2 linked regions of the Elephas maximus indicus genome follow. The protein of the gene in region 1 purifies or fractionates together with the protein of each later gene. This does not show direct contact. Links are inferred from orthologs where the notes say so. Each region holds a gene or a part of one and is shown on either strand. Other genes may lie near its edges.

Region 1 (8,765 bases):
TAGATCCCTGGGTAGCAGAAACAGTTTGCTTTCAGCTACTAAGTGAAAGGTTGGCAGTTTGAATCCACTCAGTGGCACCACGGAAGAAAGGCCTGGTAACCTACTTCCATAAAATTACAGCCACGGAAAACCCTGTGGAGTCCAGTTCTACTCTGAGACACATAGGGTCGCCATACCTCAGAACCCACTCAACGGCAACAGGTAAGCCAACACTCTAGTCTATAAAAATTGATGAAATCGCTCTAAATTACCAATAAAATACAGCCTTCTTGTAGGTTTGAAAGTACCATAGGATTCAACTCCATCAACCTTATTTCTTCATATGTTTTGGGGATATCTTAAACCAGTCCTAGAACTTTTTTCCTTCCCAAACACAAGTACATATTTACACATTTACCCCACAGCCTTCCTCCCAGGAAGTACAGACAATAAAACTAATGAAACTGGTACTTAGCCTAAACAACTCACCTGTCATGCATTGTTACTCATTCTAGGCAAGTGGGCATATTCTGAAAGTCCAGAACACAAACTCTCTCCTCCATTTACCATAATACTGAGAAATAATGAGTTTCAAAAGGCAAAACAACCAAGAAGTTAACACCGTATCCCCTGAAGAAAGGAAAATGCCTGGCAAGCAACACTAAACAGCATTTCAAAACACAGTAACTCTGCTATTTAAAAATTTGCTAGTCAAACTGTTAAAATCTAATTAGACCAATTTTTAGTTTACTAAAACCAAAACATTTACGAGTTATAGCACCCACTAGGGAATTATCAAAACTTCATCTATTTCAAGTTCTCGCCTACTAACTATGGCTTATCCAGACCGCCTTTGATGAGCACCTGCTATGGGCATGACTAGGAGGCGCAAGGGAGATGAGATCAAGATCTCTCATTAAGGAGTTAATAATTTTATAAAGGGATAGGACAAGTATACACAAGGTAGACTACAAACGTCATTAGGAAAAAAAATGTCACAGATACGTCATAAATACACAAGTTTTTTTTTTTTTTTTTTAAGGAAACCAGACCACGAATTGTCATGTAATTCAGCCCATGCACAGCCAACAATCCAAAGTATTATTTGTTAGGCCTTCAAACAGGAGTTAAAGTTAGCTAAACTGCCATACCAAAAAATGCCTTAGCTCCTCTCTAACCTGGAAGAACTTCCTCCAACAGTGAAATTCAGTTTCTATGGTTCATTCAATTCTAGGCTCTTGGTAGAAAGTGAACATGTGTGATTTCTTAAAGTAAAAAAACTTATTACTATAAAAAGATGTACTAAAATTACGCTGGCAAGGAACAAAACTTTTGTGCAGTCCCTTTCACATACAAAAGACAAATACTTAACACTTAATTCATTACCTTCACTCTCCCCTGCCTGTCTCCACCCTCAACAAAGACAGACACGCTCTCATTGTCAGGCAAAAGCCACTACCTTTCCCATTTCACGTTAAGACAACCAAAACAGGTTTATATCCGGTTTCATACTTCTCCAATAGGTACTGAAGCATTTGCAAAAAATGGAAACATTTCAATTTAACTACTTTTTCTACCCTAGTCTCTCTTAAACACTAGTAACACACCTTAATTTTCCAAGATCCCCGTATTTCCTCATAAACTACTTTGTAAATGCTCTTAAAACCAGATTCTAATTTAGTTAACCCAGACAAACCAAAATACAATGTCTGGCAGGTTTTTGCTACATATTTGTTTGTTTTTTTTCCAGAATTTAGTAAGCTGCAACTACGTATTTAATACAAAGCAGCAATTGTGTTGTATTTTTTTGTTTCTTTTTTTAACAAAAGGCATTTCAGCACCAACCTAGAGAAACGTCCTGAGAGAAAACAGGAGAGGAGTCACCACGAAGAAGTCCATTACTGATCCTGGATGGACTTTCAGCCTCAGAAACAGAGTGAAAAGCAAAAGTTGTTTTCTAATAGCCCTCCTCCCCCCAGTATCTCTGCTGTGTGACTTAGAAGTTGGTCCAAGTGGTCATCTTCAGCAATTATGTCTGGGTGATCAACTACGCGTCTTCTGCAACAGGTGACATGAAACTGTCTTTCCCAAGCAAAGCAATCGCCATCAAATTAGTAAGACGGCATGCTCCTGCGGTTTTTTACTTTTATTTTGGATTTTACCCAAATGATTTTGAATCGGATGAATTACCGAATTTGCTTTGGGTTTGGTTTTCTGCTTTGCTTTTCAATCAGCCATTTACCAGCCACTGTTGCACGAGCCCATTAACACCCAAGAAATAAAAACAAACACACAGGGCCAGATAAGTAAGGCTTCCTCTACTAACCCAACTGATCTATTTCCTTAACACAGTTTTTAAACCACATAGCTAGGGGAGTGAAGGGAAGAAAGTTTTGTTTGTTTGTGTGTATTTATGTGTCTGCCACAATCTATCTAAACCCTAAACCCCCTTTTAAGGAGCAGATAGACCATAAAAATCTAAAAGAACCACATTAGAAACGCAAAGAGGTTTGCAAAAACAAGTGGTTTCTTTCATTCCAAAAAACCAAACCAAAACAAGGGGAGAAAAATGAATGCAATGGATGTGTGTGTGCCAAAGTTTCAATCCTGCCCGGTGGAGACATTGCACTGGCATAAATTTTGAAGAGAAAAAAAGGGGGGCTAAGGGGAGAGAGAGCGAGCGAGTGTGGCCTGCAAAGTGCAACAATGCAATCTCCATTTTGAACAATGCGCCTCTTTCCTCTTGTAAATCTAGTTTTTTGCCACTTGATGTGCCTTCGCATTTCCCCTCGGTTTGGGGGGGCGGTGGGGGTGGGGGGAGGCCGGAGCAGGATGCACAGCACCCAAGAGGGAGTGAGCAAGGGGGGAGGGTAAGGAGGTGGGGAAGGCGTCTGCAGCAACTGGGCTGGGTGGGTACCTGGAGTGCTGCTATAGGTGCTATGGCTCCTGAAGCTGCTTTCCGTGCAATAACTAGCGTCGTCGTCGTCGTCTTCCATCTCCTCCGGATAATCGGAGTCATCGTCGTCCTCCTCCATCTCATCTTCCTCGTCGTCCTCGGAATCCTGGGTCTCCTCGGCGTCGCCGTCCTCCTCCTCCTCTTCCTCGGAGACCATGTCCTCCTCCTCCTCCTCGCTCTCGTGGTCATCGTACACCACTTTGTTGACGGCCCTCCGGGCCGGGGTGGCCCGGGCCAGGTGGCCGCCGCCGCCCCCGCCCCCCGTCCTGCCGCCCCCGCCTCCTCGCCCCCCCCGGCCCGGGGCGCTGGTGCTGGGGGGGGCCGGCGGCGGCGGCGGCGGCGGCTTCCTCCGGCTACTGCTGCCCCCCCTGGGTGAGCTCAGCCGCGTCTTGGGCGCCACCTCAGCCTGGGCGGCGGCCCACCTGCCCCGGCTGCTGCCGCGGTGCCGCGATCGGAGCCCCCCGATGGGTCCGGACGTGGGCGGCGGCGGCGGCGGCGGCGGCGGGGCCGGGGCGCAACGCTCCGCAGCGGGAGCCGCGGGCTGCTTGGGCGGCCTGCCCCGCCGGCCCCTCATGTCGGAGCCGAGGCGGGGGGAGAAGGGAAAGCGGAGGGGGGAGGGGCGGGCGGAGGGGCGGCGGTGAGGGGCGCCGGGGCCGGGTGGGGAGGCCCGCGGGGCCGGGCGGGAGGGGCCGGGCCGGCGGAAGCGGGTGGAGGGAGAAGGCTCAATCCGAATTGCTGGGGCCCCACTCCGGATCGCCTTCAGCCGCCATCTTGTTTCTTCCCTCTCGCTCGGTGACTGGGGGAACCGACAGCGGCCGCAGGCCCAGAGCGCGGTCACGTGAGCTGCGCCGCCGACGAGCCTGGGACGGAGCGAGGCCGCACGGCGGCCGCTAGGGGGAGCGCGGGAGCGCCCAGTCGGGTGCGAGGAGCCCGGGCGCCTTGGCGCGGCGGGGTGGACCTGCGGGCTCTCGCAGCGCGAGCGAGAGGTGCGCTCCGCTGAAGAAATGAATCCCGCGCAAGGCGTCGGGAGACGAAAGCCTCTGCGGAGTCCCCAGCGGAGCCCGAAATTCCCGCGTCTCCCCTCCCGGGTTCGGAGAGGAGGGCAAGGGAGCCCCAAATTTCATACTGCATGCCGCCCCCTTGGGGAAATGATGCTGCGACAGTGTCACGGAGGGGGAGGCCCGAGTGACGGGGGGGACCGGGTAGTGCTACCGACGGGGTGAAATTAACTGGGGCCCCGTAGACGAGCCCCCAGAAACGTGAAACTCCAAGCGCTTTTTTCTGGAGTCCTGAAATTGATCCCAATGACAACTGCTCCGGGGCCGTGCCAGAAACCACGCCCTGGGCTCCCAGACCCTGAAGGAAAGTCGCTTGGAAGCTTCTTGCCTCCGATAAACTCCAGGAGGCAACCACACTCTAGTTTGCGACACCTCTTCTAAGGAGCTCTGGTGGCTTGGTGGTTAAGTGCTTGGCTGTTAACGCTTACTGTAAGGGTTGGTGGTTCGAACACAGCAGCCCCTCCAAGGGGGCCTCGGTAAACCTTGTTGGGCAGTTCTGCCCTGTCCTCTAGTGTTGCTATGAGTCAGAGTCCACCAGACAGCAAGGGTTTGGGTTTTTTTGTTTTAGTTTTTTTCTTTTTACACTTTTCCTAGTGTCCCATCTAGGAACTTGATAATGGCAGCAAGAACTTTCCTGTTTCTCATTTGCAGCATAAAGGGTGACTTCCCTCCTAAAACCTGCTTCAAAATATTTTTGTCTTCTAGAGAAATTATTTATTTACCTGACAAGTCAGTAGGGTCTCAGCTTCGTCTAGGGTGGGAGTCGTGATGATGCAATTTCAGGCTCCCCACACCAAATCGGGGTGACTTAATAGGTTGGCCAAGGTACGCTCTAGGGATAAGAGAAAGGTTTTATAAACATAAGTGAGTATTTATTAAAATATGAAATATCCAAGGAGTGGTTCAAAGAAAAATAGTTAAGATAGTAGACGTGTTAACTTTGGTGAAGGGAAAGACAACACATTATGTAGGGGAGGTCAGCACAACCTGACCAAGACAAAGGAAGACACTTACAGGAGCACGAGGAAAAAAATAAAAGGCAACCACAGTAAATAAAATACTGCAGCATGTACAGTCCCGCAACAACAGTAAAAACAAATAATAACTTATAAGCAGGTACATCGGCAGATACCTATCCTGAATAGACGAAGGAGGGCGTTTAGGAGTAAACCCATGCACATATGTAGGTTAGGCTGTGGATGTTTTTACACACGTTTGTATGTACAGCGTGTATATTCATATATATATATATGATAGAGCACAAACGGAGCACAGTCATAGAAGCTTCCTCAAACCCAAAAAACCAAACCCAGTGCCGTTGAGTCTATTCCAACTCATAGCGACCCTATAGGACAGTAGAACTGCCCCATAGAGCTTCCAAGGAGCACCTAGCAGATTCGAACCGCCGACCCTTTGGTTGGCAGCCATAGCACTTAACCACTACGCCACCAGACATGTCCAAATATCTTGTGAGACTGAGTTACTGGAGCTGAGGGCTGGGAACCATGCTCTTGGGGGACATCTAGGTCAATTGGCATAACACAGTTCATAAAATGCTCAACATCCTACTTTGGTGAGTAGCATCTGGGATCTTAAAAGCTTACCAGTGGCCATCTAAGATACATCTATTTGTCCCATGCCATTCAGAGCAAAGGCGAATGAAGAAAACCAAAGACACAAGGAAAATATTAATCCAAAGGACTAAGGGACCACATGAACCACAGCCTCCACCAGCCTGAGCCCAGAAGAATTAGATGGTGCCTGGCTACCACCACCAATCGCTCTGACAGAGATCACAATAGAGGGTCCCAGACAGAGTGTGAGAAAAATGTAAAACAAAATTCAAATTTACAAAGACTGAAGGAACCCCCCAAGACTATGGCCCCCCACCCTTCTAAATGGGAACTGAAGCCACTTTCAAAGTTCACCTTTTAGCCAAAGATTAGAAAAAAAAAAATTTTTTTTTTTTAGACAACCCTATAAAACTAAGTGAAGAACATGCTTCTTAGATCAAGTATACGAGACTAAATGGGCAACACTTACCCAAAAGCAAAAAGAGAAGGTAGGAAGAGACAGGAAAACTGGATGAATGGAAATGGGGAGCCCAGGGGGAAAGAGAGAGAGTGCTGGCACATTGTAGGAATTGTAACCAATGTCATGAAACAATTTGTATAGAACTCTTTGAATGAGAAACTAATTTGCTATATAAACTTTCACCTGAAGCACAATAAAATAAATAAATAAGAAAAATAGTTAACATTATTCTGGCCACCAAATATTTTACAATGTAAGTGAAAAAATAGAACATATGTGAAATGAAAATTAAAGAAATGCAAGTGCTAACTGCCAAATTAATTTATTAGACATAATTTGGTTGAGCACCAAGGGTCACAAACTTATATGCCTTCAATGACCAGGTGAGCAGTGAAAGTAAACAAAGTGGGCAGGGTGAGGCCTTTGGAAAACTGAGCACCCAAGTTTTGTTTAGAAAGAGCAGCTACAAGAATACAGGCCTAAAATGGCCAGGTCTTCAACCTTTTCAAGAGAAGGTGCAAATGAGGATTACACATGGAAACTCTTGATTTTTAAATATTAGCAACTAAGTCAATTTTTTAAAAGCACTTCAGATGGATCAAAATATACTAGATCAGATACAGCACTTGGAATTTTTAGTTGCAAGCAATAGAAATCAACTATGGCTCATTTAAAAGAAACAGAAAAGGACTCCGTGAGACAGATATGGGTACCTCCAGAATTGCTGGTTCCAAATGTAAATGGAATCCAGGCTCCCAAGCTATTGTCTTGCAGCTGGCTCTGTAGCCAAGTGAGTGTTCCGTGGGCCATTCTACTGTTCGGACCATTCTACTGTTCCGTAAAGCTAGCTGCTTCAGGTGGTTGGGAGTGTAAATAAGGCTAGTGCATCCAAGAGGATAGCCCATTTCTTTATTTCTTTCATTTAAAGTTAGTCTCATGCTTGATACCATGGTGTATAAAATACCACGATGGTAAATAAGGTATTCAGTAAGTCCCTGTAGGGTGATGATGATGGTATAAGTATGGCTGGTGGGGGAAAGCAAATCCAACTTCAGTATAACCCTCTCCCCAATTAAGTTGACTCACTGTCCCCTTCATTATAGAGTCCATTATAATGACGCCTTCCAACATGGGCATTCAGCAATGGCAATAGCCAGTTCAGCTTTGCAGAAGGGAAGCACGTGTTGAATCCGTTATAACCTTGGTGCCAGCCCCCATTGCCACTTTGTGCATAACCCCTATAAGCAGGTACTGGCTTTACTAGGGAAGGAGTTTGACCTACATTCACAGGTTGGGTCTTCTTGCCCTCTAACTTGTTAAAGCTTCCTTAGCAGTGAGGATATTTTGATAAGTATTCATATGGGGCACAAAATCTATCACTTTCTAGGTTTATTCTGAGAGGTTCATCTATACCTTCTTTCTAAAACTTCTTGTCACCAATCCTCTTAGTCCCTGACCAGCTGGCCAAAGGGACACTGCCCATGACTTGGTGTAGAGTCTTTCTCAAGGCAAAGAGAACCACAATAAATACAACTCAAGGCTCTGCCTACTGGGAGATGTCCTTTTGCCACTGTCCTTCAAGACCACTTCCAACTGTAGCTATGGTACTTTAGCAGTCCATTTCCAGCTGATACCATCTGTAAACCAAGCTCAAATGTTGTCCTTCTTAGTTATATGGTCATGGGGAGTTGGGGTTGTGGACTGAGGAAGGAGTGGCAGTGAAGTGGGAGTAAACACTCAGTGAACTGGGAATTGCACTCCTGTGTTTCTCCAGGACCTGCTCAGGCCTGCTCTTCCATATACCATGTACTCTTCAGGATGGGAAGGCTACCGGGTATTTATGGCTAAATGAAACAGATACTCAGTTCATGATAAGCAGAACAGATTACACGGTCACCTGGTACCCCAAAGGTCAGGCTTTCTGTCTTTGCCAGGGCCCAGGAGCAAAGTTAAGAGCAGTTCTCAAAAAGAACAGTTATTAGCCAAAGAGAGTAAGACTTTGCTCCAAAACCCTAAATGTAACCATAGTGATGCTCCTTTGGGGGCTTGCCATGGACTTTGTATAGCACCCCAGTACGTGGATGTACACAGAGCATTATTGGGTCCACTGAGTCATGAGAACCAATTAGCAGAGATCCTTTCACTGCCCCCTGGACCTGCTGAAGAACTTTCACTTGCTCTGGGCTGCACTCAACATTCACGAATTTTCAGGTCACTTTTGAAAATGGCTTAAAGCAGCACATACAATTGTGGCATATGTAGTCATCTAAATCCAAAAAGAGCTTCTCAGCATCCAGTACCGTAGAAGACACCGCCCCACAGCCCTTGAATTCCTCACTCCCATTATATGTTTTATGGCTACAGTCACTCCTCTGAAGACCTGCCTTTAATTCCAGGTGACACCGGTGATTTTGTTGTTTTGCCACTGTTTGCTATGGGCTATCAGAGCATCATACCTTCACATTAGATGCCTCTTCTCTGCCATCAGCCTCAGAAGACCAGACAGACAGTCACAGACACCCCTCCCCGTTTCCCTGGGACTCCACAGCCTAGGGCCACTCTGGCACCAGTTTCTTTAACAGTTGGGTTCTTGGTTGCAGCCAACAGAAACCAACACCATCTGCTGTAAGATCACAGCATCACTGAGGGTACAAAAGAACCAGGCTCTGAGGCTACACAGCCAGAAACATCTAAAACCAGGCAAGAAGATTGGATCAGGAAGGTAGATGGCTGCTGCT
Region 2 (7,744 bases), on another chromosome or scaffold:
TTAATGTGAAAATAGTATATCCTTTCACTGGCACCAAAATAAGGAGCCCTGGTAGCACAGTGGTTAAAATGCTTGCCAGCTAACCCAGAGGTTGTTGGTTCGAACCCACCAGTTGCTCCACTGGGAAAAAGATATGGCAGTCTACTTCCATAAAGGTTTACATCTTGGAAACCCTATAGGGGCAGTTCTACTTTGTCCTATGGGGTTCTATGAGTCAGAATTGACTTTGATGGCAGTGGGTTTGGTTTGATTTTGGAACCAAAATATTGAGATTTTTAGGGAGAAAAAAAATATATATATATACATCACATTGATTTTCATAGGCTGATAATGCCAAGAAATACCACAGCTTGAGACCTCAAGTTAAATGCTTTTCATGCCAAATAGGTTTTGGCAAAGAATGCTTGAGAAATAATGGGGAAAAAATCTTAAATATCCAATATCATACACATGGCCAACAATCTGTCAACAAGAAAATGCACTTCTAAATGTAAGGTCCTGAGACTTAGGATTAGGACTTCCCTTTGGTAACACCAAAGGACAGAGTTGAGCAATCTAACACTCAGAATAGAAATAAGTACCTCTGTAGACAAAATAAGAAAACAAATAACTGCGATTTGGAGTATGAAAAGGTGCTTGACGTCTCATAACTGCTTTGAAAAACAACCAGTAGATTAAAACAATTGCGAGAGGAAAACAGAAAATTAGGAGCTGTTCCTCAGAGGCACAGGCCAATACAGAAAACACGGGCTGCTGTTACCATTAAGTCTTAGAATTAGGCCTGTTGCTGTTCAGATTTTCTTGAGAAACACTGAAGAACATCTTATAAGTTAGAGGATTAAATAACCTGTAGAAAAATATGAGAGTGGCCTGAAGACAAGTCCAGTCCACTAAATAACTGGGGTAGCTGAAAGCTTGAAAAACTAAAATTAAACACAATGGACTATATCAGTCACAGCTTGGGAAGACTGATGGGCCCTTAACTTCTAGATGCTTTAAAATCTGAATATTACTGTAGCATAGGGTCTAGTTCTGGTTGCTGGCTCATAAAAGAAAGAGGGCACTAGTTAAAGAAGTCTTAAGCAACAGTGTAGCAGACAGAGTAAAGGAAACATTTATGTAAGATCAGATGAGCCCCTGATACTCCTTCTAGGCCTCAAATACTATCCATGGTAAAACTGGAGTTAGGGGCAGGCAGCTGATTATTCAGGTTAGTGGAAATGAAACATCTTAGGTTTGATTTTCACATTAGAAAACAGAGGCCATAATTGAATTAAATGTTGGCAAATGTGAAATCTGTTAAAAGCCATTTTTCTGAGTTCCATAATCTTGGCGTTGAGAGAATTCAATGCTGTCAACTTTAAGAGGCAGGGATAATTTTACAATTATGTTCATTTCAGTGTGCTAAGAAATGACAACATAAGTAAAATTTCATTATTTAGCACTGTTCATGGCAGTAAAAAATACGCCATCATAAAAAAATGTATACTTATGAAATGTGCAAATTGTTAAATGGCTTTTTGGGATTTTTCTTCAGGATACAAAAAAGGGGAGGCAGAGTTGTTCTTCCACTTGTAGAGAAATATACAAATTATGGTCAGGAATAGGCTTTTGGGATTACCGACGTCATTAGGGAAAACTTAAAATCATCAGCTATAGTACTTGGTTACTTTGAAAATTCATATTATAAACACTGAAAAGAGAAGTTTCAGAAGGTGATTTTTTGAGGTGATCCGAGCCCCGCAATCACTAACAAGCTTCTTCATCCAGAATGCAAACAAATATTGAAAAAGAAGGAACACAGGCAGTCCCATAAAGCAGGAAGTAAGTGAAATCCTGAAAGCCAGGTCTTGTCCAGGATGAGAACCGTGTCCGGGGTTTCTCCTCTTTGCCCAACACCTCTTGCAGGAACTCAAATTGCCACATCCAGCTGTTGCCAGTTTCTGAATTTTTCTTTTTTGGGGGGCGTGTGTGCGTGCGTGCGTGCGTGTGTTACTTCTAGGATATGAGCAGGTGAGGTCTTCTCATTTTTGTCGAAGTTTCCTCCAATTTCGGCCACGACTCAATTCTCGCCACTCTCTTTTCTCCAAGGTCCTACCTATGCAGCACTCACAGCCCCTGCCAGCTCTGGAAGCTGCGGAGATCCCGACCGCCTGGGATGGGGACTGAATCTTCTTGTTGCAGTGTAATTAAGCGGAACCATGACCACTGCAGACTGGTTGACAACACACATTTCTACAAAACCAGCAATACGAATTTTGACAAGCCTTGTCCAATCAACAGGCTTTATTTTGGCTTCGGTTTTTTGTTTTTGATTCTGCTGAGGGAATATAATCAGCCACCAGCTTGGGCATTAGAAAGGAGGAAGCCCAGACGCTTCTCTTCTTTTGCATGATAAAAAGACAATCTACACCTTAATAGCTGTAAGGGAAAATGGGCCTGTGTGAGGAGACACCACTAGAAACGCACGTTAGAACTGGGTCACCCGTAAAAAATACAGACGATACCAGGTTATTTATACAGAGAGCCCCCCAGGACCACCACTTCTGTGGTCCCCACGCAAATCAATGGGATCCTCCCCGCAGCTTTGCAGCAACAGCTAGTTCAACAAAGCTCTGCAAAGAGAAGAAAGGTCCTGGCATCCTCTTCTGCCAGCCGCTGACCCAGCCCTCCCGTCGCGCCGGACTCGGGCCCCTTTGCCCCCAGCAGCCCCAGGACCCCGCATCCCGGGCCCCGAGCCCAGCCGCGGTCCCCACTCGGGTTCCCGCGTCCCCGGCGGCCGCACGGTGCCCCCGAGGGCGGGGACGGCTCGGGCAGGGGGACGGCTCGGGCAGGGGGAGGGGCGGCCCCGGCCCGTAGGTCCCCAGGGCGGCCGCACGCCCCCTCCCGGCCCCGCAGCTTTCCCGCCTTCCCCGTTTGAACAGCTCCCGCCCGCCTTCTTCCTTCGGCCCGCTTCAGCCCATTCCCGGGGGCGGGCTGCGGCCGCTACTCTAGTCCCCGGCGCGGCCCCTGGGCTAGGCCGCGACGGGCCTGGGGCGCCCCCGGGGCGGTTTCGCGGTCCCGGGACGGCGGCTGGTGGCGGGGCGGGGCCGCTGCCGCCTCTGGGTGGGGGCCCGGCCCGGCCTCTTGGGGGCTCCGCTCGCCGCTACCTTCACTCGGATCGCCCGGATCCCGCTTCAGCGCCGCCGACCGCCGCCATCTTGGAGAAGGAGAGAAGAGCGCGAGCGGCTAGGAAGCCTCAATCGATCCCAGAGCGCAGACTCGGGCTCGGGAGGGGGAATCCCGATTGAGAAAGAGCGCCGAGCTCATCGAATGAAACTCTGAACTCGCGGCTAGTGTTAATTGAGAATCTGCTCGGTGGTAGGCTTGGTCTAGAGACTTTACGAACATCATGTCATTTATCCTCACTACATCTCTGTGAAGTGGGCTTTTATCGCACTTGGCAGACGAGAAACAGGCTCAGAGATGTTAAGTGACTTGCCCAAGGACAAACAGGTGGTTGGAGTAGGGGGCAAAATTCTATCCCAAGTCTTCTGATTCTAAAAGCAGTGCCCTTCCCAGAAGAATATGCTGTTTCGTTCAAAATATTTTTATACAGTGTTTCCCCTCTTTGAAAAATCTAGAACCCTGCAGATTAATAGCAGTGACGCTTATTTGGAATTTGCCATCTACATTTGGGTGTTTGGTATATCTGGAGTGAAGGGGAAGAACACATCTTTATAAAAATGTACTGTAAAATAACTTTCCTAGTGAATCGCATGCATGTCTCCCTATTTGCACCTAAAAGCTGGAAATAGTCTTCAGAAAAACTAAGAGATGTAACGTTCAGGAAAGAATCAGAGCTTTCGAATTTGCTTCAGAGAATTTGGGCCAATGAGTAGAAATTAGAGTGTGCAGTCTTTGGTTCCATTTGAAGTTTTTTTTTTTTTTTTTTAAGAGCAGTTTAATAGTGTAAGGAAAGGAGCCCCGTGTCACCAGAGGAGCCCAGCTAGACGGGAGCCAGCAGATGCTAGTGTCTGAGTTACTGTAGAGCAGAGAAGTTAGAGATTGACTTCTGGAGTCATGCGTTCCATAAAAATCTGTGCAAATTTATGCGTTTGTGCACATGTTTGTTTTTTCTGGGTTTTCAGTGCCAGCAAACAACCCCTGCCCTAGTGGGCTTTCCATTCTAGAATGGGGTGGGTGCTTGCAGATGTTGTAGTTATGCAGCTCACTTTACAGACTTAGAAACTGAGACGGAGGGAAACAAGGTGATTTTTCTCAGACCACACTGCTAATTAGTGATCAGATGAGGACTAGAAGCCGGATTATCAGACTCTTGGTTTAGTGCTTTTTCTGCCATATCATGCTTTCGCCCTGTCAGCACTGGGTAGAAGGTCAGATTCTCGTTAATCACTGCCCCTACAACTGTGAAATGCTGAAAAGTTAAGACATCAGAGACAAAGTTGTTGAATTTACACTCGAAATGTAATTGCAACTAATAAATAAAACTAGCATCTTGGCCTCTTCCTCAGCCCCATCCTGCTCACCTAAAAGGCAGGCAGTCAATTTCACCAAAAGGTATGAGCTTTGCATTTTGGGGATATCTTGCCTGAAGCTAGGCCTCTCTTTGAGGTATTTAAGAGCCATAAGAATATATTTCCCTGTTGTTCTTCACTCTGGCTGTATTGGTCAGGATGTTTTCGATTGTAAGTGACAGAAGCCCAACTCAAAAGAGTTTGCTATGAAAGGCAGATGTATTGGCTCACATTACTGAAATGTGTACCACCTTCAGGCTTGGCTGGATTCAGGGAATGACTCAAGCTGCCCTCTTAACATCTCTCTGTAGTGCTTTCCTCTGAGTTGGCTTCATTCTCAGACTCCAGGTGGTGACTCCAACAGCTCCAGGCTCCATCATCTTTACAGCTAGCAGTGTCACTGGACAGGGGGTTTCTCTTTCCTATTTGTTTTGGCAGACGTCCTGGGATTGACTCTTACTGCCTGAATTGGGTCATCTGTCTAAACAGAAACCAATCACCGTGAGTAAAGGCATAGAATATACTGATGGGGTAAGGTAGGTCACATGCTCACCCCCCAGCAAAATAAAGTCTGGAAGGCTTTACTCCATTCTTATCATTAAGGTAGACTCTACTTTGAGATGAAGCTATGCCTCAGTCATGTTTTGAGTGCCTTCCAACCTGGAAGACTCACCTTCCAGCACTATATTGGACAATATTCTGTTGTGATCCATAGGGTTTTCACTGGCTAATTTTCTAAGTAGATCACCAGGTCTTTCTTCCTCATCTTACTCTGGAAGAACCACTGAAACCCGTCCATCGTGGGTGACCCTGCCGGTATTTGAAATACCAGTGGCATAGCTCTCAGCATCGCAGAAACAACAAGCCACCACAGTACAACAAATTGACAGATGGGCGGTGGAAACTGGCCCTATTGATCCTCTGTCTATTGGAACCAGAGAGGAATTCATTAATCCATAATGCTTCAGGGAAGAGGGAACCCTCCAGTTGCCCCTTGCCTCTGGGGTTGGGGTAGCATGGGAGGGCATTCCCAGTGGGAGAAATTGGGTGAAAGGAGGCAAGGGGGGTCAGTGCTTCGCCATGTGCTTGGAGTGGCAAGCAGTGGTGTTTCTGGGCCTGTGCTATGAGTTCCTGGGAGTGACGGGGGGAGGCTGGGCCACACAGAGATCTTGTACTTAGCCCAGAAGGGCTTGGGCCAGGCCCCTGTGTTCTCCTCCAGACCTGCCTGCCGGTCCCTCCAGTCTGTGCCTTTGTAGCCTGTTTTGTTGTTGTTAGGTGTCAATCCCTACTCATAGCGACCCCATGTGACAGAGTAGAATGGTATAGGGTTTCCTAGGCTTTAATTTTTAAGGGAACAGATCACCAGGTCTTTCTCTTGTGTTGCTGCTGGGTGAGTTTGAATTGCCAACCTTTTGGTTAGCAGATGAGTGTTTAACCATTGCACCATGAGGGCTCCTTGAATGCATAAAACCAAAACATCAAACCCATTGCCATTGAGTCTATTCTGACACACGGCCACCCCATAGGACAGAATAGAACTGCCCCATAAGGTTTCCAAGGCTGAAATCTTTGCGGAAGAGCCCTGGTGTCATGGTGGTTAAGCACTCGGTTGCTAACCAAAAGGTCAGCAGTTCAAACCCACCAGCCATTCTGTGGGACAAAGATGTGGCAGTCTGCTTCTGTGAAGATTACAGCCTTAAAAACCCTACGAAGCAGTACTACCCTGTCCTATAGAATCACTATGAGTCAGAATCAACTTGATGACATTGGGTTTGGTTTTTTGGTCTAATCTTTATGCAAGTAGATTGCCAGGTCTTTCTCCCTCAGAATCTCTGGGTGCCTCTGTTGTTGTTAGGTGCTGTCGTGTTGGTTCCAACTCATAGTAACCCTATGTACAATAGAATAAAACACTGCCCAGTCCTGTGCCATCCTCACAATTGTCATTATGGTTGAGCCCATAGTTGCTGCCAGCACGTAATCCATCTCATTGAGGGTCTTCCTCTTCTTTGCTGACCCTGTACCAAGCATGATGTCCTTCTCCAGGTACTGATCCCTCCTGTCAACATGTCCAAAGTATGTGAGACAAAGTCTTGCCATTCTTGCTTCTAAGGAGCATTCTGGTCGTACTTCATCCAAGACAGATTTGTTTGTTCTTTTGGTAGCCCATGGTATATTCAATATTCTTCGCCAACACCAAAGGATGCATTACTCTCCTGGCTCTTGTTTCTTGGTAGTATAAAGTCCCCTCGTCTCTCTGCTTGCTTCTCTCTTTTATATCTCAAAAGAGATTGACTTAAGACACAACCTAATCTTGTAGATTGAGTCCTGCCTCATGAACATAACTGCCTCTAATTCTGCCTCATTAACGTCATAGAGGTAGGATTTATAACACTTAGGAAAATCACATCAGGTGACAAGATGGTGGACAATCATAGTACTGGGAATCATGGCCTAGCCAAGTTGACAGATTTTTGGGGAACACAATTCAGTCCATGACAGCAACTAACAACAAGTAGAGTACTAGGGATCAGATTTCTTCTGCCGCCTGAAACAATAAAAAAAAAAAAAAAAAAAAAAGACAAAATATATGAAACAGTGGTTTGTAGACCAGGGACATCAGGCAGCATGGGACAGTGATCTCTGAGAAGGAGGAAACAAGCAAGGAGAACCCTACAATTGGCTCAGTTTACTGTCTGAAGAGAGTTTCCAGACTACAGGTGAGTGAAGGGTAACCCAGGTGGAGCTCTGAGGTCTCCCTGAGTTGAGGTGACAGAGATGGGAGTCTCTGGAGGTAAAGCTGGCTTGAATTCAAAGGGTAGAATACCCAAGAGGCGAGAGCTGCCCACACAGAAAGTTCTGAAGCTCTGCAGAAACTCTGCTAAGTGAAAGAAGCCAGTCTGAAAAAGCTACTGATCAGCACATGTGTGTGAAGAAACTACCCAAGGCCTGGGAAAGAACCCCTAAAAGGATTAGAGAGAACAATCTCTGTAGCTCATTCAGGGCTAGGAACAGTTTGAGTTCCCACTAGCCAGTTTGGGAAAATCTGGGTTATCCGATAGAGCACTAGATGGTGGTTGTTGCTGGGCACCAATCGAGCCGATTCAGATTCATAGCAACCCCATGGGACAGTAGAACTGCCCCACAGGGTTTTCTTGGCTGTAATTTTTATAGGGGCAGATTGCCAGGGCTTTCTTTCCCAGAGCCACTGGGTGGGTTCAAACTGCCAA

The links. Proteins that work in one complex are often made in the same cells at the same time.
Region 2: the proteins of BPTF (region 1) and HMGXB4 fractionate together in Homo sapiens (co-fractionation; 3 studies listed by BioGRID, with this or other methods). This does not show direct contact. The link is inferred for Elephas maximus indicus from reciprocal best matches to the Homo sapiens genes BPTF and HMGXB4.

Annotation. Positions count from the first base shown.
Region 1 is NC_064837.1:56,115,315-56,124,079, forward strand, and holds the start of BPTF (nucleosome-remodeling factor subunit BPTF), read right to left. Parts: upstream 3,546-8,765; 5' UTR 3,510-3,545; coding exon 2,897-3,509; intron 1-2,896. UniProt on the Homo sapiens protein: Regulatory subunit of the ATP-dependent NURF-1 and NURF-5 ISWI chromatin remodeling complexes, which form ordered nucleosome arrays on chromatin and facilitate access to DNA during DNA-templated processes such as DNA replication, transcription, and repair.
Region 2 is NC_064822.1:178,692,555-178,700,298, reverse strand, and holds the start of HMGXB4 (HMG domain-containing protein 4), read right to left. Parts: upstream 3,222-7,744; 5' UTR 3,150-3,221; intron 1-3,149. UniProt on the Homo sapiens protein: Negatively regulates Wnt/beta-catenin signaling during development.